Canis lupus familiaris: one gene and its partners. The protein of the gene in region 2 binds, or shares a complex with, the protein of the main gene of each other region. Links are inferred from orthologs where the notes say so. Each region holds a gene or a part of one and is shown on either strand. Other genes may lie near its edges.

Region 1 (7,740 bases), on a different chromosome or scaffold from region 2:
AGGTGCTCACTTCAGCAGCACATACATATTTGATCAGGGTCTTGCATCCAGAATATATAAAAAATACTCTTTACAATTTAACAAGACAACTCAGTGAAAAAAATAGGCAAAGGATCTGAGTAGGCATAGTTACACAAATGGCTAATAAACACATGAAAAGATCAACATCATTGGTCATTATGGAAATGCAAATCAAAACCATAATGATACCAATTCACACCTACTAGGAGATGGCTAAAACAAAAAAGATGATAAAGACTTGGCAAGAATGTGGAGAAACTGCAACCCATAACCTACTGCTGGGATTTTAAATTAGTGTGGCCACTCTGAAAAACAGCTTGGCAGTTCTTCAAACTGTTCTATGACACAGACATAGGTATAGATCCAAGAGAACTGAATATGTATATCCACATAAAAACGTGTATACAAATGTCCATAGTAGTATTATTCATGATTTCCAAAATGTGGAAACAACCCAAATGTCCATCATTGTACTATTTAAGTGTGTTATGGGTTGAACTGTGCCTGCCCCCACACACACCAAAAAAAGATATGTTGATATCCTAAACACCAGTACCCCAGAGTGTGGCCTTCTTTGGAAAGAGGATCTTTGCAGATGTAATTAGGTAAAATGAGGTCATACTGGAGTAGGGTGGGCTCCTAATTCAATGACTGGTATCCTTATATGATGGCCATGTAAGATATGGCACACAGGAAGAATGCAATGTAACAAGAAAGACACTGGGGTTATGCAGCTATAAGCCAAAGAATGCCAAAGGTTGCCAGCAAACCACCAGAATCTAGGAAGGAATGAAGGATTCTTCTCTATAGGTTTCAGAGAGAGTATGGCCCTGTCAACACCTTAATTTCAGATTTCTAGCCCCTAGAACTGTAAGATAATAAATTCCTAATGTTTTAAGCCACACAGTTCATAGCATTCTGTTATGGCAGCCCTAGGAAACTAACTTGCCATATAATGGAATATCATTCAGCCCTAAAAAGGAATTAAGTACTGATATATGCTACAACATGGACAAACCTTGAAGACATTACGCTAAGCAAAAGAAACCAGACACGAGACTATATATTACAGGATTCCATTCATATGAAATGGCCAGGATAGGTAAATCTATAGAGAGAGTTTACTAGTGATTGCCTAATGCTGGGAGGGTGGGGGAAGGATGTGAAAGGAGTGGAGAGAAAATGCTAAGTGCGTGCTAATGGATACAGGGTTTCTTTTGGAGGTGATGAAAATGTTCTACAATTAATTATAGTGATGGCTGCGTAACTCTGTGAACATACTAAAAACTACTGAATTATACATTTTCAGTGGGTGAATTGTACAGTATGTGAATTTTATCACAATAAAGCTGCTTTTCAAAAAAAATTAAGAAAGTAGTTAACAGAGTGATATTACAGAGAGGAAGGGATGGGGATACCTGAAATAAAGCATTAGAGAAGGGTGGTTGCAAAAAGTAATGTGTGACATTTGAGCTAAAACTTGAAGGATGAGAACAGCTGGGAGAAGAGCATTCCAGAGGGAATGGTTCAAATGTTCTAAGTCAGAATGAGCCTGGCATATTTGACGGACAAAAAGATGAATATGGCTACAGTTTAAGTAAGGTAGAGAGAGGCATGGGATGAAGTTGGTTGAGAGACAGGGGCTAGACAGTGTGTTAATTCTATAAAAATTACAAGCAAAGTAACTACTATAAAATCGCAGGCAACTTTATTTCATCTCCAGCCCTCAATATGCACCTTTAAGCCCCAACAGGCTTATATAATAATAGTTATTTCATAAATATCTATAAACATAACAATTAGTCATATATGTCCGTTCTGAAAGTTACCTGAAACCCTTGGGTCTGGGCCAGCACTGCCATTAGCAACAGAAAATCTCAGATAAAGGTCAGTCCAAATTCATCCCTAGGCCAAGAGTTTCAGGTCTTGAAGGCATAATCATAGCCAAAGCCAGATTCTAGGTCTGTCAAAAGTAGCCCACATAAAGCCAAATCAACCGATTCTAGTTATCAGGAATTTTCTAAGATTCATGGAACATTGCCTGACTCAAAGAAAGCTCCCATGACTCAAAAAATTGGGGAAAAAAAAAAATCAGACCACTTTAGGAATAAATTGAACTAAATGAGTATTTAACTCAATATATATGCTCTCAGCCTATTTACCAATTCCTCCTCTTGGGATAGAGACAAGATTTTTAAGAAATTTTGGAAGTTAATTCAAAAGCTTGCCTTTTCCCTTTTGGCCTCAAGTTGAACTACAAGTTTCAGCAAGCAAAGGTGATAAAGCAAAAGTTCAAGAAAGGCAATGCTCTGCATCATCCTGAACACTCCCATTTTAGTTCATTTAAATAGTCCTCCCCAGTACACCTGTTGACCTCATTATGAAAGTACTTCACTAACACCCAGATGTGGGCCTAAGGAGCACATGTGAAAATGTAACGAAGATACAAGATGACAAGCATACAAAATCTGAGAAGTAGCCCGTTTAATAAATTTGAAGTAACAAAATGATGTTAACCAGAGGCCAAGGCTACTAATAAATCCAGCAAATATACAACCACATATTTGTATATAAGTCCACCTATCTCCTAAATAAATACAAATTTAGTGAAAGGTAGTAAAAATAGTATTCTTTCCTATTTTCCAGGGGAAAAAAAAATTCTTTTTTTTTTTTTTTTTTAATTTTATTTATGATAGTCACACACACAGAGAGAGAAAGAGAGGCAGAGACACAGGCAGAGGGAGAAGCAGGCTCCATGCACCGGGAGCCCGACGTGGGATTCGATTCCAGGTCTCCATGATCCCGCCCTGGGCCAAAGGCAGGCGCCAAACCGCTGCACCACCCAGGGATCCCGAAAAAAAAATTTCTAACCTCAAGGCTATCTGCAAAGCTTAAAACAAAGCAAAACAAAACAAACAAAACACACACACACACAACTCCAGTGTGAATAAAAATCGTAGTAAATTGTACTTACTGTTTGGCCTGGTTAACATGAACCCCTAGTGTATAGCTCAGCCATTTGTATGTCACCTGCAAGAAGAAGGAGTTGGTTTTTAAGTGTTAAAAAACATTAATGACATTAACATTAAATGATTCCAGCGTGCAGGTTAGTCCCAGGGGCTCCTAAAGATTCCTACTCTCAGATGATTGTGCCTTATAAATTACAGCGGATGCCACCCTAGTTTTGCCAAGAACAGTCCATCTGGGTAGGTAGGACTGAGATATTTATCTTACACTAAAAAGTCTGTTTCACAGGCTAATTAATACAAAAGTCTAAAATGAAAGGCTGAATATACATACAAAGAAAAAGCTCGCATTTTCCTCACATTCTTTGTTTTACCCTTTATTCACACTGTCCTTTTTTGTGGCCACCACTGATAACTATTAAAATTCACCCAGAAGCTAGATTACTTTGCAGTGTATGACATAAACGTCTAAGGAAAAGCTGCAGCCGTGCCTGTTTGCTAATGCAAACATTAGCAGGCACAGGTGGTGCAGGGGCCAGGGAATTAAAGAAGTGGATGGGGGCAGCCCGGGTTGGCGCAGCGGTTTAGCGCCGCCTTCAGCCCAGGGCCTGATCCTGGAGACCTGGGATCGAATCCTATGTGGGGCTCCCTGCATGGAGCCTGCTTCTCTCTCTGCCTGTGTCTCTGCCTCTCTCTCTAATAAATAATAAAACAAAATATTAAAAAAAAAAAAAGAAGTGGACGAATGCTGTATTTGGGGTTAGACTGGAATCCACTGGCATCAAGCCTTGGTCTTCCTTCCATCCTTCCTTGAACTCTCTTGTCAAATGTCACTTCCTTGGATGCTCCTCACCTCTTAGAAGTCTTCCAATTCTAAATGCCGAGTTTCCAATAATTAAGAACATAGGTGAGGCGAAAGCATTAGTAAAAGAGACAGATCTAGGTTGGAAAACTGCCTATCCTTCACTAACTACAAGTAAGTAATGTGGTTCCTCTGCTTCAAGTATAGGGATACGTCCGGCGCCCTTTGGGGTCGCTGTAAAGATTAAATGCAATACTGTACATCCCAGGCTCACAGCAGGCATTCAATCGTCACGGTTGTAAAGTCCACTCGCATTCATCTTCTCAATCTTTCATTCCAACCCTGAGGGGGCTGGTCAAGCCTACGAATACCAAATTTCCTAGCGGAGGAAACTGACGGTTGAAAGGTGAAACAACTAGTCACCTAACCCAATCACGGCACAATTCTTCAACAGTCAACTTGGGGCTTTAAACCATTTCACCTCATCGGACAGACGCAGAAACACCTCAGAATTGTTATCTACCAGGGCCCTTCCCTCCACGCCTGTTCTTGGCCTCTGCTCCTTGCACAGCACCCGGCACGCCCAACCCAAGCGACGCGGACTAGCGCGCGCCAGAGGAATTCCCCCTGCGAGCCCCCGTGAGCCCTCGCGAGCCCTGGGGCACCAGACGTGGGGACCCGTCGCCCCTCGGCCAGTCCCCACCAGGCCAAGCGCAGAGGGGTCAAGGCCCCTGCCGCCCTCAGGACTCCAGTCTCCTGCCCACATTCCCCAGTCCTAGCTCCTCACGATCTTGTTCTGGTCCGTGACGAACTCGTCTATATTTTCCAGATAAAGCTGGTCCGCCATCGTGCGGCACAGCTGCGAGCCCCGCCACCACAAACGCAGCTCCCGCCGGCGGGAAACGTCTTTCCTCTCTCCCGGGTCCGGGGTCGTTTCCCACAGCAACGGAGGCGACGCGCTACGGCGGCCGCCCGAGGGTCAAACTAGTGACGGAGACGGCGCCGGCTCAAGTAGGCGGAGCTAGTAGGTAGGAGCCAACGCAAGCGCGGACTAGGAACCTGCGCGGGACCTGGGGAGGGTGTTTCTGGAGCCCTGGTTTTAAATCTCCCGTCTGCAATTTAATGCCTGACCCAAAGCAAAATACCTCCTCGTAGGAGCCACAGCCTTACCACCTGTAAATTGATAACATAATCCTTGCCCTTTCATACCTTTATTCAAAAAATGCTTATCAACTACCTACCTATTCCGGGCACTGCTTAGATGCTGGGGACACAGCGGTGAATGATCCAGACAGAAATAAGCCAGTAATTTTAGTAGAGTGATGGCAGCTGGAATGAAGTACTCCTGGTTATAATCCCTCAGAATTGAGAAATTAGGGGTGGCTTTCCAGAAGGGATGGGATAAGAGAAATGTTTCAGATAGAAGCAAGAGCATTTGCTGGGAAGAAAAGAAAACACCTAGATTTGGAATCTAAATCTTTAGGTAAATGGTGGTGCATTTGACTACTGAACTGTGGAAGACTGAGAGAAAGAGCAGATGAAGAAAATCAAAGAATTCTCTATGGCCACAGTTATAATGGAGAAAACATATAAAACCCTCACACCATGCCTGTACACAATAAAATTAATAGCAGTTGGGTTATATTACTATACACAGGGTACACTGTATTAGGTGCTTTGAGAGTGAGATTTCATTTACTCCCTAGAGCAACCCTTCAAATGGATTGTGTTTGTCCATATTTTATAGAGTAGATTGCTGAAATTTAAGAGAGGAAAGATGAATTTTCGAGGTCACAGGGTTGGACGGTAGTGCTGGGATAGGAATTCAAGTTTCTTTTCATTGTTCCACAGGGATGGGAAGAAAGTCAAGATAATTGACCAGATTCTTGACGCTATCCCCATGCCAAAGGGAGCAAATGATAATACTATATAGAATACTTGACCCAACATGGCCCTAGGTATACCAGTATTAAAAGGTTGTGTGATGTTTAGAAGCCAGATTAGTGGTTAACCTTGAGACGCCTACCCAGCTTGAACATTCCTACCTCAGGGAAGAGGAGCTGAATGGAAGACATGTGGGCTTTGGAAATATATTTTTCTTTTAAAAAGGAAGCAAACAAACAAAAACCTGGGATTGAATCCCAGCTTTACCACTTCCTAGCAGTATGGCTGTAGGCAAATCACTTAACGTCTCTAGTCCTCAATTTCATGATCTTTAAAAGATGGGACAATAGAACGCAGTGGTATACTAATAAATGTTTAACAGCCAAATTTAAAAAGCCCTGATTTGTAGTGGTTGACAACATCTGTGATGTGTATACTGCCATCACAGCAGACTTCAAACTCCTGATAGTGACATCACTGAACACAGGTAGAGACACACAATATCACACAATTACTTCCACAATACATGTAGAATAAACAAATAACCTCAAGAGCATATATGGCAGTAAAATAATTAGGAAGTGGTTATATTGAATATTTGTTGTCTTTGTTTTTAATGATTTAATTATAAATTTATAGTTTAATTTTTAACTGTGGCTCTCCTGAAAAATTAATAAAAGGAAACCTAGTTTGGGGTCAGCATGGGGAGCTCTCAGGGCCTATCATTCCTTGTCAATTACCAACTCAACAGGCCATGTTCTGTGCCTGGGGCATCTGCAATGTAAAATTAACTCCTTATTCCAGGCATTGGGAACATCTTTCCTATTTGAAATGTAACCAGCAAATCTCCAAAAGGGAAAAGTACCACCATTTCTACCTCTACCAGGAAGGGAGGGAGGAAGGAAGGGAAGGAGGGAGGGAGGGCACCTGAGTAGCTCAGTGTTTGAGCATCTGCCTTTGGCTCAGGTGGTGATCCTGGGATTGAGTCCTGCATGGGGCTTCCCCGCAGGGAGCCTGCTTCTCTGCCTGTGTCTCTGCCTCTCTCCATGTGTCTCTCTTGAATAAATAAATAAAATCTTAAAAAAAGAAAAAAAGAATTCAGTCCCTCTTCCTTAAAGATGAAGCTTCACATCAATGTCAAAAACAAGAGCAGTTCTCCAGGAATCAGAAAAACCAACTAAAGCATTTCCTAAGCACATGAGGCCAGACAAAACTTGGAGATGGTAGTGTCAGCTGATACCAGAAGTGAGAGCCATAGGATCAAGATTCTCAGCCTTCATGTTTCAAAGAGGTTGATGTTAGAAGACGGACATTCCTATTTCCTCCTTTTCATCCCCACTTCATCCCAGAAATGATTGGCATAAGAAAATCTAATGATTGTGACAAGGCATGGGATGGGAAATCTAGCCTGGACCCAATATTGGGGAAAACATGAAGAGTAGTCAACCCCTGCAGGCAGGACCCCCAGACTAAAAGTAGGGGAAAGAGGCCAGGCTTCTGACCAGGAAATGGGGCCTGTGGGAGCAGCTCAGGAGCACAACCAGCTGGCTGGGCTATGGGGCCTCAAATCGCTGGGGGTCCACAATGGTCATTCCAGAGTCCTGGGGATCCAGAACTTATTAACACTAAGGTATTTAGCATTAGATCATTCATACATTCATTCATCAAACATTATTCAAGGCCTCCTGTCTATCAGGCCCTGTGTGACAATGGGAACACAGCATGCTCTTCATCTCTGGGAGTTTAGTCTGTGGGGAGTAAACAGCTTCCTCTGTGAGGAAGCACAGAGTGCCATAGAAACCTGGGAAAGGCAATTAACCCAACCTAGGGATCAGAATAAATGTGGGGAAAACTGGATTTAGGTATCTAGGACTAGGTAGCACGTATCCTTTCACTTTAGGTGAAATATATAAGAAATGAAATCAGAGTACTGTCATCACAGCTTCTTACATGCACAACAAGCCAATATAAAAAGAGCTACTTTATGAGAACATAGGTACCTTACCTTGTTCAGACTGTCTTGTGGAATGTACAGCTATCAAGGCCAGGACACATCAACCTTCTTGA
Region 2 (6,159 bases):
GGTCTGCCCAGGAGCTCAACACCAGCACGCCAGGCAGGCTTGCTTTCTTTCTTTTAAGATTTTATTTTAGAGAGAGAGTGAGCAGGGGGAGAGGGAGAGAGAGAGAATCTCAAGCAGCCTCCCCACTGAGCTCGGAGCCTGTCGTTGGGCTGGATCCCACAACCCTGAGATCACAGGCTGAGCTGAAATCAAGAGTTGGATGCTCAACTCACTGAGCCACCCAGGGGCTCCAATCAGGCTTTTTTTTTTTTTTTTTTTTTCTTCAGGCTTTTGTTATAAAGCAAATGCCACCTCAGTGTCAACGTTGCACGGGTCTCAGTGAGTCAGGGGCTCAGACCCAAGCCCCCCAGGTCCTCGTCCTCTGCCCCAAAGCCTGAGAAACTGATGGGCTGGCAGGCCAAGCTGCGCAGATTCACAAGGCAGGCAGTCTGTGTGGTGCTGAAGTCTGGGACAGCCACCAACAGCACCCTCTGGTCCTCTGGGCCTGCAAAGAAGCCACATAGGTCCCCCACCTCAGGTTCTGGGTGTGCCTCGTCTCAAGGGGAGTCACCAGAAGCAAACAGGAGTTCCCCATCAGCACTATGCGAGTGCTGGCCATACCAGCTCCTTTGGACCGGACGCAAGGGCCAAGAAAGCATAAAGGTTAAAGGCTAAAGTCCAGCTGACCAAGCAGGTGTGGACCGGTCAGCCCTTGCTCAGGCCACCAACCCCAGGGGGCCTGGGGACTCCAGTGAGGCCTTCTCTGTGAGCCCTGTCCCCAGGAAAGAGTCCCTTGTGATAGTCCCCCCAGGCCTGGGGTCCCCAGAAGACTCACCTCGGAAAATTTTAGAGCCAAACTGGGGGGTGTTCCCACAAAAGTAGACGTGAGGGCAGTCCGGAAAGATGAACGGGTCGTTCTTATAGAAGGGGTAGCAACCTAGAGAAAACCCGCAGTGGCTGGGGCCTAGCCCTTCGCGGCGCAGGGTCAGGGTGCAGCTGTGCACACAGGGTGTGGACCCACTCCTGCCTGTTCATACTCGCTCAGGCTATGCTGTAGCAGCCCTGCCCTTCTGGACAACAAAAATGCCTCCAGACACTGCCCCAGGGCCCCGGAGTCAGGTTAGCATGTGCTGAGGGTGCCCTGCTAGGCGGGTCTGTGGCACTGTGCTCCTAATGTGCTCCCCACAGCCTTCTGCCCTACACAGGGCCATGGCGACACACAGAGCTGATTCCAGAGAAGCTTCCAGATCTGGTGTCAAGCTTTTGGACTATCCCTTAGGTCACGGCAGGACTGGTGAGTGCAATCCATGCTGCAAACCCTCTGGGTGTCAAGGCCCCGGATCAGGACTCCCTTGGCCCTCTGGCCCCACCCCACGTGGCTGAGTCCCAGTACCTAGCGTATCAGGGGCTGTGGGGCTGATGTGACGGATGCGCAGGGTCCACTCCAGGATCTCCAAGTGATCCTCCATGCTACTGTACCGGAAAATGTCACTCACGTTTTGTCCCGATGTCCCTAGGAATCTGCAAGGCAAGGCTCAGCTGGTCCCTACTCTGGGGGCTGCCACCCCTGCCCCCCAGGAGCCAGCCCAGAGCTCACCCAGCACTCTCACGGCTGGTGTCCCAAGCTGACTTAGAGAAAGAGTCCAGATCCACTGGGCCCTCTGCAGCCTGATTCAAAGCCTCCCTCCCAGTGCCACGGAGGCACAGTGCCAGGGGTCAGACTGGGGTGTGGCTGCAGGTGGCTACCTGACTCCATCGATGGTGGCTTGGTAGGGATTGGTGACCAGCTGGAGGGTGGAATAGGCAGTGGCCAGTGGGAACATGCAGGGGTGCAGGGGCTGCTGAGGGAGTGTGTAGTTGGTTGGGTCAAATTCGCCTGGCATCACGTCCACGGGTACCGATGCCTGGGGGCACAGGGGCAGGGGAGCTTGCAGGGCCCAGCGCCCTCCATACACAGCCCCTGGGGATCACCCCTTCTGCTCCCCCAGCCCGCCTTCCGGTGCCCGACCCCAGCCTCAGAGGCTCCAATCTCATCACTGGCCAGCCGCTGGCTCGCTCACACTCAGTTGCAGGAGGATCTCATCCAACATTTTGACCGCCTCCACGCTGGCTGCCTGGGTTTTCTTGGTTAAGTACTTGGCCTGGGGATAGAAGTCCATAGGCTGTCAGGCCCCAAGAGAGGTTCAGATCAAAGAGACACTCAGAGCTCTGCCTGGGCAGCGGAGAGCAGAGCAAGACCCCACAGCTAGGGGACAGAAAGAGTTCTGTGCCACGGGCCCCCCCGCCCTCAGAAAGCAGGGCCTGAATCATTGTAGGGCCCCTGCCAAGAGACACGCGAGACCCCTGCACCCCAACTCTCCCTGGAGAAGCAGGGGCTTGAATGGGTGGGCCCCGTCTCAAGGCCCCCACGGGTGGGGCTGTACCTTGTTGATGGAATCTCTGCTCTGGGTATTGTGGCTCAGGAGGTTCCCGGCGAGGATGACCCGGGACACATGGGCGGCGCTACACTGCTCTCCCTCGTCCCCCAGCTGCCCTGTCACCACGTCCACCAGCAGCTGGGTGCCCAGCAGGCTCTCACCCCCGCCTCCGCCCAGGCCCAGGCCAGACACCAGCAGCACAAACCTGTGGGAGAAGTCAGGGTCCTCCTGGGTGCCGAGAGCAGGTGACCCCGCCGCCCGGCCCCTTGCAGGCTCTGCCACGGTCACAGGTGAGCTGGGGACACGGAGCCCAGCACATGTGATTCCCCTGGACCACTGGCCAGGCCCCTGAGCGCCTGCTCGTCACCTGTCTGTGTCCAGGGTGGGTGCGGGCTTCTGAGGAGCAAGCTCTGCAAAGCAATGGTCCTCCACCAGGAACTTCCCGCTGTCTCTCACAGAGCCAAGCACAGCCAGCACTGTCCCTAGGGGGCAGCGGTGTCAGGCTCCAGGAGGGAAGCCCAAGAGGCTACCCCCTCCTTCAGGCACTCAGGGGCAAAGCCAGCCAGTTTCCTTCTGCCATGTGGGAAAACTCTCACTGAAGACTTGGGCCTGAGCACCTGCTTCCTGGGGTTACTGCCTCTGGGTGGAGGCTGGAACCACTGACCCCCTTCTGGAGCCTCACACACTGCCTGCCCCTACAGCCATCATTCTAGGGAGGCAGGAATGCAGTAGCACCACAGGCACAGCCCACTGCCCCACCTGTGACCAGCTTTGACGCGTCAATGCTGCCTTCCAGCTTAATGCGCTGTAGTTCATCTTCCAAGACCAGCTGGTCGTCGGGATGGATGTACTTGCTCCGAGGAGGCTGCGGCAGCAGGTTGTGCTGGAATTCAGAGATGGGGGTGGTGTTGGGGCCGGAGGCTCCCAAACCACATAGGTGAGATGTCACTGCATCCCACACCCCAGGGGGCAGAGGCCCAGCCCTGATCTCTGTGTCCACTACAGGTGGCCCTCCTGGTGCCCCCTGCAGGAGCTGGCCAGCCTCACCTCTTCGCTGATCTCCCGGAGGATGGATGGCTGAAGTGGCATGGCCTTGAAGAGGGTCCCCACCACACAGCATTTCTCCCCAGGCTGCAGCTCACATAGCTTCTTTATTTGGATTCCATCACCTGGGTGTGACAGACACATGCTCAGAGACCCGGCAGCCCTCCTGGCCCTCCTCGGGGCGCCGTAACAGCCTCACCCAGCACTGCAGCCTGCGGCCCAGCCTCTGGAGGTGCAAGGACACCCCCGACACTAACAGACTCGACCCCAGGACAAAGGGATGTGGCTGGGCCCCCGTGTCCCATGTCCTCGTAAGATAGGCAGACATGCAGGAAAGCGGGCAGCCACCAGAAACTAGAAGAGCCGAGGAAGAGGTCCCCCGGACAGCCTGTGGAGGGAGTGGCCCTGCCAGCACCTGGATTCAGAGCTCCGGTCTCCAGAACGGACGCAGAATAGATTTCTGTGGTTCAAGCTGCTGGGTTGTCTGTGATAGCAGAGACCAACTAGGGACCTTATACAGAGTATTACGTCACTTATCCCTAAGTTATATCGTGAGTTCTTAGAAGCATGCCCAGTCTCAGTCCAGCCTTCCCCTGAAAGCTTTAGAGAGGCACGATGTGCAGGGCTCCCCCAGGCAGGCAAGAGGAAGGCTGGTGGGTTTGTCCGTCAAGACGCTGGGCCTGGAGTAAAGTCTGCCTGAAGCAGAAGGGATAATGCAGCAGCAGGACTGGCCCCTTCCTAAGCCCAGCTGCCCTTAGCATGAGCCCCTTCTGCCCAGAATAACCAAGAACATTCCACAGATCTACACCCTGGGAAGTGGAGGCTAGTCATTCCAAACAAGATAAGGAGGCGCCAGCAGCAGAAAGATATGCCAATGCCACAGAAACAGACCCAAAGCCTGTCTGCTGAGCCCTCACTCAGCCCCTGGGGGCAGCACTGAGCCCTGTCCCTGGAACCTACCCACGCCTGCCAACACGCCAGAGTAGGCCTTACTGCTCACCGTGTGCTTGAGGCAACAGAGGCACTGAGAGGCTAAGGGACGCACCCAAAGTTGCACAGCTGGGATGGAAGGTGCCCGTTCAAGCACCGGGGAGAACCACGCATCCCTGTGTGGAGGGCAGGACCTCTGTCTGGCTGGACAGCATGTGGGCACCGGGCCGGGCACCAGAATCAGAGTGGACAGCACAGCCTGTCCTCACCCTCACCAAGCTTACAACCCCAAGAGGGAGAGACGACAGCAGTCAGCGAGGGATCAGCCACTGTGACAGGTGCTGCAGACACAAAGGAGCCAAGGCGGAAGGTAATGAGAAAGCCCCGGTGGCTATTGTGGCCTCTTGAAACCCATGACACTGGAGGTCATGAGGGAAGACGGAGGAAGAGCATGCCAGGGGAAGGGAGTATCAATAGGAAGAAAGAGCTTGGTGTGTTCAGGGGGAGAGAGAGAGAGAGAGAGAGAGAGAGAGAGAGAGAGAGAGAGAGAAACGAGTCCCAGACAGGCTGAAGTCCCTGGTCATGTGGGGAAGCCGGCACCCACACCAGGCTGGCAGGCCTACAGTTGGCCGCTGGCCATCATCCAGCCAAAGCTCCACTCATCACGGGCCACTGTGTGAGCTCCTGACTGTCTGTGAGGGCCAAAGGGGACCGGGGGCCTGTCACCAGGCAGTTGTCAGCAGCGGTGGGGCTGGAAGAGAAACCTGCACCAGAACAGTGACACGGGCCTGGGGAAGGTCCCCAAGGACTTCAAGAAAAGTGAGGAAGGCCATAGGGAGCCACAGGAAAGAGACCCTCATTACGTGGCAGAGAACACGTGAACAGCACCATCCCTTCTGCAGAGATAAGAGAAAACGTCCCTAACATACCTGAGGTCTGGCTGTCTTCACGGCCTGTAATAAACCAGGGTCGAGTCTGTCGCTGGTGTGGGATGGGCCTGAGCACCACTGCTCCCCACAGTCGCGACCGGACCTGGAGCCGGGGAGGCCAAGGCTGGGACCAACAGATGTGGAGGGGTAACACGGTTCTCCCCATAAACATTTCAGATGAACTGAACTTGGCACGGAGAGCCACTTGGATCCACAGTGAGACGGGGAACGCGGCCCCAGAAAGGTGAAGGCACGCGTCCTGTTCCCCCGGGGGGAATCATGTGAGAGGAGAGGTGGAGGACGAAGGAGGTGGAGAAAGAAGACGTCACCCTGCCCAGGCCCCTGGGTTAGGAAAGACAGAGGAGCCCAAGGGAGGGGAGATTCGTGCCCGACCAGGACGGAGGGCCCGGAGGGGCAGCAGAAGACATAGTGAGCACTCAGGGAGCCCCCCCGGGGGGACGCAGGTGTTTGTGGACCTTGGCCCCCAGGGCCCGGTTCCTGGTCTGCATGCTGACATACTGGCTGGCCACGTGTGCGCACACAAGCACATCGCCAGCACACAGGACATCCCTACAGCAATGACACGATCACTGTTCCTGCCAGAACTAAGCCTCAGCTCACCTAGCCTCCCTTGAAAACCACCAATTCCTTCATTTAATCCTCGTAACAAGGATTTGTTACGAACAAGAAGTGAAGGCTCGAAGAGGCTGACTCTCCCAAGGCTTCTAGGGAAAGCTCAGGGCCCTCTGGGCAGCTGGGGAGGAAGCACTTCCCGGAACACGTCACTTACCCCAGTGCTGCTGGGCCCGGCTCACCAGGAAGGGCCTCATCTGGAGGAGACGGGTGGCATAAATGTGGGC
Region 3 (7,993 bases), on a different chromosome or scaffold from region 2:
GCCTGTGTATTACATTGGTTTGTTTTTAACTTTCCCTGCAGTTAGATCTCTGTTTAGCAGCACCCTGAGCCACCTGGGGCTGGGGATGGTGGTGCAGGTGCAGGGCGATGCAGTAGGGAAGGCAACCCTGGCTGAGAGTCCTGCCCTAGGGTTTCCTGACTGAGCAAGTCTCAGCCTCAGTTTCCTTATCTGTGAACCATGGCTGAATACTTACCTAATGACAGTGCTCTGAGTCACTCTGGTCAAACAGCAGCCCAGCAGATGGCATGGAGGGCCCTTAGTAAACATCAGACCCCTCCCAGCTGCACGAGGCTCTCAGCAAACAGATTCTCAAATGTTCCCACTGATACCATACCTTCCCACCCGCATCTACTCCCACATCCTTGGCCTCCCTTCCTGTCACGCTGGATGCTCCTACCTGAGGCCACCCTCTCCCTGGGCCCTGGGCCCAGCCCTTGTCTCTCTCACAAAGGCCTCACTCATAACACCCACCTTTGTCTCCTGTGGCAACGGTCCCCTCCCTGTTGGCTCACTCTCTCACTGTGTGATCATGCTGTAGTGTCACTCTATCCAAAACAAAAGACAAAATGACACATCAAAACCCCTCCCTTGAGGGGCGCCTGGGTGACCCAGTCAGTTAAGGGACAAACTCTTTTTTTTAAAAGATTTTATTTATTTATTCATGAGACACTCACACACACACACAGAGGCGGAGACACAGACACAGGTAGAGGGAGAAGCAGGCTGCATGCAGGGAGCCCGACATGGGACTCGATCCTGGGTCTCCAGGATCACACCCTGGGCTGCAGGCGGCACCAAACCGCTGCGCCACTGGGGCTACCCCCTCTGGCACACTCTTATACTGGCACTCATGGAAACTTCTTGTCCCCAGTGACCTCTGCATTGCCAAGTCCAGCATTCTGCCCTCAGGCTTCATTTTACAAGCCTCTCCAAAGCATCTGAGACCCTGGAGTACCTCCTGCCCAGGCCTCCCAGGCCCATGCCTCCAGATTTTCCTCCAGCCCCACCACCTTCCTTCTCCGTCGCCTTCTCCCTCTCCTCTAAGCATAGAAAGTGTAGGCTCATCCTTGGACCCCTCAGGTAACCTCAGTCACATTCTGGGCTCTAAACATCATCAAAAAATGCCGATGTTTACATTCTCAAATTCCGAGCTCGCGAGAATTCTAGGCTTGAGTATCCACCACCTACTCCCCAGCTCTGCTTGGGTGTCAAGTGTGAACTCCTGATTCCCCAGCATCCCCTGCCCCTCACATGGTCTTTCCCACCTTAGTCATGGGAGCTTTGGCTTTCCAGCTGCTCAGGCCAAAACCTTTGGAGTTCTCTCCTTGGCACCTCTCAGACCCACAGCCGACTGATCTCCCAACCCTGGTCCAAATCACCATCGCCTCTCTCGAGGCCAACCCCAAAAGCCTCCTGAGTGGTTTTGCTGCCTCTTCTTTCCCTCACCCCAGGAACTGTTCTCCACCAACAGCCAGAGTGATGTTTTCAACACAGAAGCTTGATTATGTCATTCATTGGCTTACAACTCACCAATGTCTTCTGTCTCACTCCGATTAAAATCCAGATTCCTTATCTCAGCCTGAAAGGCCTGTGGGATCGACCTGTTACCTCTCTGGCCTCATTTCCCAGCATACTCCTCTTGCTCCCTCTGCCGTGGGTGCACTGGCCTGCACGCTGTTCCTGGACCAGGGTGTAAACACTCCTATCTTGGGAAGTATGCTTGGTATTCCTCTGTCCAGAGCTCTCCCATAGGTGCCAGTCCCATTCCTATATTTCATTCAGATCTCTGCTGAGATCCCACCGTGTCAGAGAGCTTCCCTGATCAACCTCTCCAAGCAGCCCCGGCATTCTTTGATCTCTATCCCTAATTTTGCCTACCACTGACCACCACATGGCTGATTACCACATACAGGTAATATTTACCTGTATGTCTTCTTTTGTCTCCTCACCACTAACAACACCCAGGAGGACCTCTAGAGCCCGGCATACAGCAAGTACCCAGCAGATGGGCAGGGGCATGGCTGTAGACATGAAGAGCCTGGTGCACATGGCCTCTCATCTCTGCACCACCACCAGCCTGCCAGTACTGCCGAGCAACCCCACACAGCTTTTCTGAGCTTCAGGCTCCTTCTCTATAAAATCTACCTTAACAGCCCTTTAGGAACGTTAGAGATGATTCATTTAAGATCCTTGAGGCACGGGTAGTGGCGAGTACAGTGGGGGCTAGAGAGGCCACTTGGCTGCTCTATAGGCCTGTCCCCAAGGAGTTAATAGCAGTGCTGTCTCTGCCCAGGATGCAGAGCTGGACAGCCAGTAAAGATAAACACAGAGTGAGGAACACGGACTCCATTCTCCATATGATACCATCCCAGGGGCCCCTAAACATTGTTTCTGCTCTACCCAGTTCCCCCACCAAAGCCCACCAGATGATGGCCATCTCTGAGCAGGACCTGCAGGTTGAGAACCTCCTCAACCCTGCTTTGGATCCAGGTGGCCCCAGTGTGGGAAGCAGAGGTGCTTGGCGGGAATGTGTAGGTTTGGACCTTATGAGGTGTGAACCCTATGGATTCTCCTCTGACAAAGGACCCATTTTTGTGAGGTGGGCCACACTGGGCAGGCTAGGTAGCCGGTCAGGTCCGTTTTCTCTGGCTGGTCTTCGAAGGTGACTAGAGTTGTTTCCCTGTCCACCACCAGGGGGCGCCAGAGGCTGATCAGCTCTAATGTGGACTTGTCCCATGGTCTTTTAAGGTGTCTTTCTTCTGGCCAAGGTCTAGGCCTGGGCAGCAAAGGGAAAGCATAGTTCTGGTTCTCTCCCACCTGTCAGCTTCGGCTTGCTGGTTGCTGGCAGCCCACTCAGGGCCACATTAAGGGACTGGAGGTTAGGCTTCCAGACTCAGTGTTCTTTATTGATAAGCATTAGGAACCCCTTGCCAGTTCTGCCCTTAGATTCCCAGCTTTGAGTAGGGAGTGCATCTTTGCCTCTTAGACATCTGCCTGAGTCTAGCTGTGTCCAAGGCTGTGCTTATTTGCCACACTGTTCCCAGGACCACAGTTTTTATGGTTGAAGAGGTGTGTAGCAGGCATCCGAGGGTCATGGCCAAGTCTTTATCCTCAGAGACAACTTTCCATGTAGGAAGTATAAGCTTCAGCTGTGTTGGCTCTCAGAGGGAGCTCCAGGAGCCTGCTGGTTAGATGGAGGGCTGAGCCTCAGAGACCTCCAGATTCAGCCTCTTTTCTCTATAAGATTCTTTTCCTGCTAAAGGTTCTTCACGGCAGAACTGAGCCAAGGGGGCAGCAACTGGCTCTCACTTGTGTCTTGAGGTCCTGGGATAGTGGGCAGGAAGTCTTAAGTGGTACCTCACAGGGGATAGAGATGCCAGAGGCTGTGCAAAGGAAGGGGTGGGGGCAGAGAAACCAGAGAGAGACAATTAAGTCCTTGATCTGATTTCACCAGCCCCAATTCTTGGCCATGGCTTATTGTCCCTGGCCAACCCCTCTGTACTAAATAGATAGTCCCTTGGGTCCTGGGTGCACTCTTACCCCACCATTAGCTCAGAGATAAGGATTATTAAAGCAATGTTCTGCTTTCCTGAGCCAAGCACCTTGGAGATCACCTTCTTGCCTGTTCAGCAAAGCCCCAAAGCCCACATTCATTTCTTCCTCAGGTCAGGGCAGTCCCCACCCTGCGGGCCAGCAGGCTGGTGGTGCCTGATGAAACCCCTGGCTCCCCTGAAAGCCCTCCTGGCCTGTCTCTGACCTGCACTGGAAGCGGGGATCTCCAGGGTGGGTCTGTAGCACCTGACGCACTTCTGGGGGAGGCTCCAAGCCCATCTGCTCCGCCCGATGCCAGCGCTGCAACCGTGTGATCCCTGCCGGGGTGAGAAGACGACACTGGCACCTCATGGGGGGTGGGGAGGAGTTCAGGCTGGAGAATGTGTATGGAGGGGTGTGTCAGGGCCTCCACACCCCCTAGTCTCGGGAGACAGTGCCCGAGAGGGTCAGGCAGGGGCGTGGGTTGCTTCAGGGACCTGCAGGTGACAGGACTGTCTCCAGGATGTGTTCCTGGGGCCTGAGAGGGTTCTCACCTGTGCAGGGCCCATACTGCCAGGCGAGATCAAACTGCCTCAGCAGCTCCAGCTCTGCTTCATCCACGCTCAGGGGCTGGGGCTCTTCCCCTGCAATGACACGCGGCTCCTCAGGCCTGCCCCCGGCCTCGCAGCTGCCCCACTGCTCCCCGGCCCTCACCAGCCCTTTGCCTCTGCCGGCCACTGCCAGGCCTGCAGTAGGAAGTAGAGGACATGTTTCACTTCCCCTCGCAGCACCCCCGTCCGCCCGCGTCCTCGCAAGCCCCTCGCTGGTGTCCAGTGCTCCCGCCCCCCGCACGCGGAAGAGACCTAGCTCCGGTGCCAGCTCCCCCTTGCTGTGCCCAGCGGGGCCCTCCCCCCTCTTCACTACGGGGTAGGAGTCAGTGATGAGCCGCTTCCGGCCCATGGCGGCCACCCAAGCAGGCGGAGAAGGAGGCGGCTGCGGGAAGGAGAGGCCAGCGGGCACGAGAGAGACAGCTGCTGAGAGAGAGAGGGAGAGAGGAGAGGAGAGGGCTGGGGCCAGCGGGCGAGCCCGGGGCCAGCGGCCGGCAGACAGGGCGACCCAGACAAGCCGAGAGGAAGTTCGCCGGTTCCAGGGAATGACGCGCGGCCCCCGCCCCCGCAGGCGCACAAACAGCAGAGACCCAAGCCAATGGTTGGCCGCCTCTGCGGGGCGGGGCCCGACGCCAGCCAATGGCAGGCGGCGGAGGCCGAGGGGGCGGGGCGCCGGCCGCAGCTGTGCTCCGGGAGAAGGGGTGAGGCTGGGTGGGGGACCTGTCGGGACGCCCCAGACTGCGCCTCCTCCTGCTGCCCCCCCGTCGGGCCGCAGCGGGCCTCGGGGGACTAATAGAGCGTTATCCTCGGCCTCTCACTTCCCGTTTTCCCTTCCTAGGCAAATGTTCTTTTCAGCCTCAGTAATCCCCGTGGCCGCTCGCTAACTCCCTAGAGTCCAGCTGGAGCCTCCACTCCCACCCCCCGTCCCGCAGAGCCTTGTGGGGGCAGGTCTGGAGGTCCGCGGAGCGTTGGGCTGATCCAGCCCCTTCCTTCCCAGCTCCCACCCCACCCCCACCGGCCCCAGGAGACCCGGCTGGAGAAGCCCTTGGGTTCCAAAGCTCCTTTCTCACAGTCTGTGCCCAAAGACCCTGCCCACTCTCAGTCCAGGCAAGCGTTGGCCTCGTCGACTCTCCTGGGGTCAGTACGCGCCCATGCCCACCCTGCTAGTCAGGAAGATTCCACACTGAGCAGGAGGCCAGCGTGCTTGTAGCCCCACTTTTTTTTTTTTTTTTATCAGTAAAATCTGCCCTGTCTCACCAATGTGACAGTAAGAGCAGAAAATACCAACCATAAACTAAACACTTACATGGCACTTACGGTGTGCCAAGTACTGTTCTCAGCACTTTCCCACATACTCACTCAACTAAAATAGATGTAAAATGAATGGTTCCTTAAAAAAAAAAAAAAAAAAAAAAGTTCTTTTTTTTTTTTTTAAGTAATCTTTACCCCTCAACGTGGGGCTTGAGCTCATGACCCGAGATCAAGAGTTGGGTGCTCCACAGACGAGACAGCCAGGGGCCCCATAAAATGGTTTTTGAAAGTAGGAAGTGCTGATCATCACAGGCATTGTGGGGCCCCAGTTAAATCACGGGCCCTCTGTGCCCTCTCCACAGAGGAGCTCAGAGGCTAACAGGGTAGGCAGATGGGACACACAAGTTGTCAATGCAAGGACAAAATTACTAAGAAACAGGAAAGGGGAGAAGGGTGGGTCAGAGAGGACTTGGACCACAGCGTTAGCTTAACACTGGAAGACCTCCTGGAGGAGGCGGGCTGCTGTAAACAGTGTCTCTCAATTCTCCACCCATGACCTTTGTCCCTTGGGCTCCTGTCATCGCTGAGTCACCCCTGCACCCGCCTCCCCCTCACCAACTTCCTGGCAGCAGGCAAAAGTGCTGGTCAGTGGGAGTCTGGGAATCAGCACAGGGACCAGCCCAGCTCTAACTGCCCTTTAGAGATCCTATCTGGTTCTTCCAGGAGTACAAGGGTCCACTCAGAAGTTTCTGTCTACAACCTCATCCAACTGCTCTGGGCTCTGGGTGCTCTAAGATACAAGTAAGGTGGGCGTAAGAGAGGAAAAGCTCTGGAGAGGAGACCACCAAAGGGAAGGAGCAAGAGCAGCCATGTCTTCAACGGCCTCCTCCTGCCTGGCTCTCCCTATCCACTTCCTTGAGGAGGGCTGAGTGGGAGTCAGAGCTCATGAATGTACTGCACAGAGCTGGAGGGCCCTTCCCTGCTTTATTTTCTGGGCTGGGCCTGGCCTAATCCCCCATCTGCCTCATGGACTAAGTGGGGCCCATATGGAGGGAGACAGGGGCCTGGTGCACTGGGGAGGAACACAGGAGGCCTCTCTACCAGGCCCAGGAAGGGCTGAGGTGCAGTGTCCAGTCAGGCACTGAACACTCTACAGAGGGACGGTGCCCAGGCTCCTCTCCCCAGAGGGTGTTCCCAGAGGTGTGTGGCACCTCACTCCCGAGTCCACAGAGCCCTGAGGGAGTAGGAAGCCATGGGTGGGGCAGACCCCTCCTCATTCCTGATCCTTCCCACCCCTGAAAGCTGATAGCCGTGGGGCCCTGCCACCGCCCAGGGAGCGTGAAATGGGGTGTGCCGCTGGGCGGCCACAGTGGCTCCTACTGCCGCCCGAGCTCATTCCCTCTCTCCTCTGGCACCCTGACCTGCTCTGTGGGCACTGCCTGGGCATCCTGCCAGCTGCCCCCAGCTCTGCCTGGCCCGGGCCAGGCTAGCCTCTCCCACCTGGCCTGGAAGATGTCCCCCCAGTCCCGGGGAAGAATCAGGGTTGTCAACTCAAGTGCAGGCGCCCGAAGGCTGGGTTTCTCCCCTGGAGTCCAGAGAACTCTCCACAGGCAGCATTGCCCTCCTGTCCTAGTCAGACAATAGTGAGACTGAGTGCCCCCTGGGAGCTTTGGAGCCACCCCTGTCAAATAGACATCCTTCCCCAACTCCGTATCTCACCAAGTTGATCCCTGGGGTGTGCCGGCCACTAGAACCTGGGCCTGCCCATCCTCAGGTCTTTTCCTTCTCCACTCGTCCAACCCCGTCTGCCTCCTCTCACCTTTCTTCCTGGAACCCCTTTCCCTACTCAGGCAGCCTCCTGGCCTGTCCCCAAAACTGCTGTCACATGGGGACTATCACAAGTCAGGCTTCAGGCTGGAGGGCCAGGCCAGAGGTCTGAGTTGGGAGCTACCTTCTCCCTGGGTCAGGGAGTTTCCTGAGACCCAGGAGCCTGTTTCTGTGTCAGCTCTGACCCCCAGAGGCTGGTGATGGGACTGGCAGGAGTGACCTTTGCACCTGGGCCTGGGAACACTCAAAGGGCTTGCCTGCCAACATCTCCGGAGAACCCAGGAGAAAAACAGAGCAAAGAATTGGAACAGGAGCCCAGCACCTTCCTGAAGGCTGAGGCCCACTGCCTACTGCTCCAAGGGGAAGGGGGATTAGGCCTGGCTTAGCTCAATGTGGCAGGGTGGGGGGGCCTCAGCATTGCGCAGGCGCAGGCGCCCTGGGAGCCCCTTCCCCCTCCCCCTGCTCAGAATAGGGCTTGTGGAGAGAGCCAGCTCCAGCTAGGAAGGTGGGGGCAGGTAGAGGGAAGGAAGCAGCTGCCTGGGGCCCAACAGGCTATGGGGCGTAGCCTGCTGTCCTCCTTCTTCCCAGCACCCCCCTTTCTTCAGGCCTTCAGGCCCTGCCACCCACCCTGAGCTGGAGATTCTGGGCAGCCAGACTCATATCCCCAGCCCCCACATATTCACACTCCCTGGGCCCCATTCCCCACCCTGTGGGCCAAAATTCCTTCAGGCAGCTCCTCCTAGTCCATCCTGACC

Evidence for each region. The genes of interacting proteins can lie anywhere in the genome.
Region 1: POLD2 (region 2) and POLD3 share a complex: the UniProt entries of both Homo sapiens proteins name them as parts of the both the DNA polymerase delta and DNA polymerase zeta complex. The link is inferred for Canis lupus familiaris from reciprocal best matches to the Homo sapiens genes POLD2 and POLD3.
Region 3: POLD2 (region 2) and DNA polymerase delta subunit 4 share a complex: the UniProt entries of both Homo sapiens proteins name them as parts of the tetrameric DNA polymerase delta complex. The link is inferred for Canis lupus familiaris from reciprocal best matches to the Homo sapiens genes POLD2 and POLD4.

What each region holds. Positions count from the first base shown.
Region 1 is NC_049242.1:23,912,126-23,919,865, forward strand, and holds the start of POLD3 (DNA polymerase delta subunit 3), read right to left. Parts: upstream 4,732-7,740; 5' UTR 4,637-4,731; coding exon 4,577-4,636; intron 4,407-4,576; exon of another isoform or gene 4,213-4,406; intron 3,962-4,212; exon of another isoform or gene 3,841-3,961; intron 3,052-3,840; coding exon 2,996-3,051; intron 1-2,995. UniProt on the Homo sapiens protein: Accessory component of both the DNA polymerase delta complex and the DNA polymerase zeta complex.
Region 2 is NC_049237.1:14,412,833-14,418,991, reverse strand, and holds the end of POLD2 (DNA polymerase delta subunit 2), read right to left. Parts: coding exon 6,090-6,159; intron 6,030-6,089; exon of another isoform or gene 5,472-6,029; coding exon of another isoform or gene 5,300-5,471; intron 3,566-5,299; coding exon 3,444-3,565; intron 3,280-3,443; coding exon 3,156-3,279; intron 2,879-3,155; coding exon 2,764-2,878; intron 2,602-2,763; coding exon 2,403-2,601; intron 2,121-2,402; coding exon 2,040-2,120; intron 1,884-2,039; coding exon 1,726-1,883; intron 1,501-1,725; coding exon 1,373-1,500; intron 917-1,372; coding exon 815-916; intron 485-814; coding exon 324-484; 3' UTR 240-323; downstream 1-239. UniProt on the Homo sapiens protein: Accessory component of both the DNA polymerase delta complex and the DNA polymerase zeta complex.
Region 3 is NC_049239.1:50,602,164-50,610,156, reverse strand, and holds DNA polymerase delta subunit 4, read right to left. Parts: upstream 4,732-7,993; 5' UTR 4,513-4,731; coding exon 4,416-4,512; intron 4,197-4,415; coding exon 4,107-4,196; intron 3,891-4,106; coding exon 3,779-3,890; intron 3,405-3,778; coding exon 3,380-3,404; 3' UTR 2,353-3,379; downstream 1-2,352. UniProt on the Homo sapiens protein: As a component of the tetrameric DNA polymerase delta complex (Pol-delta4), plays a role in high fidelity genome replication and repair.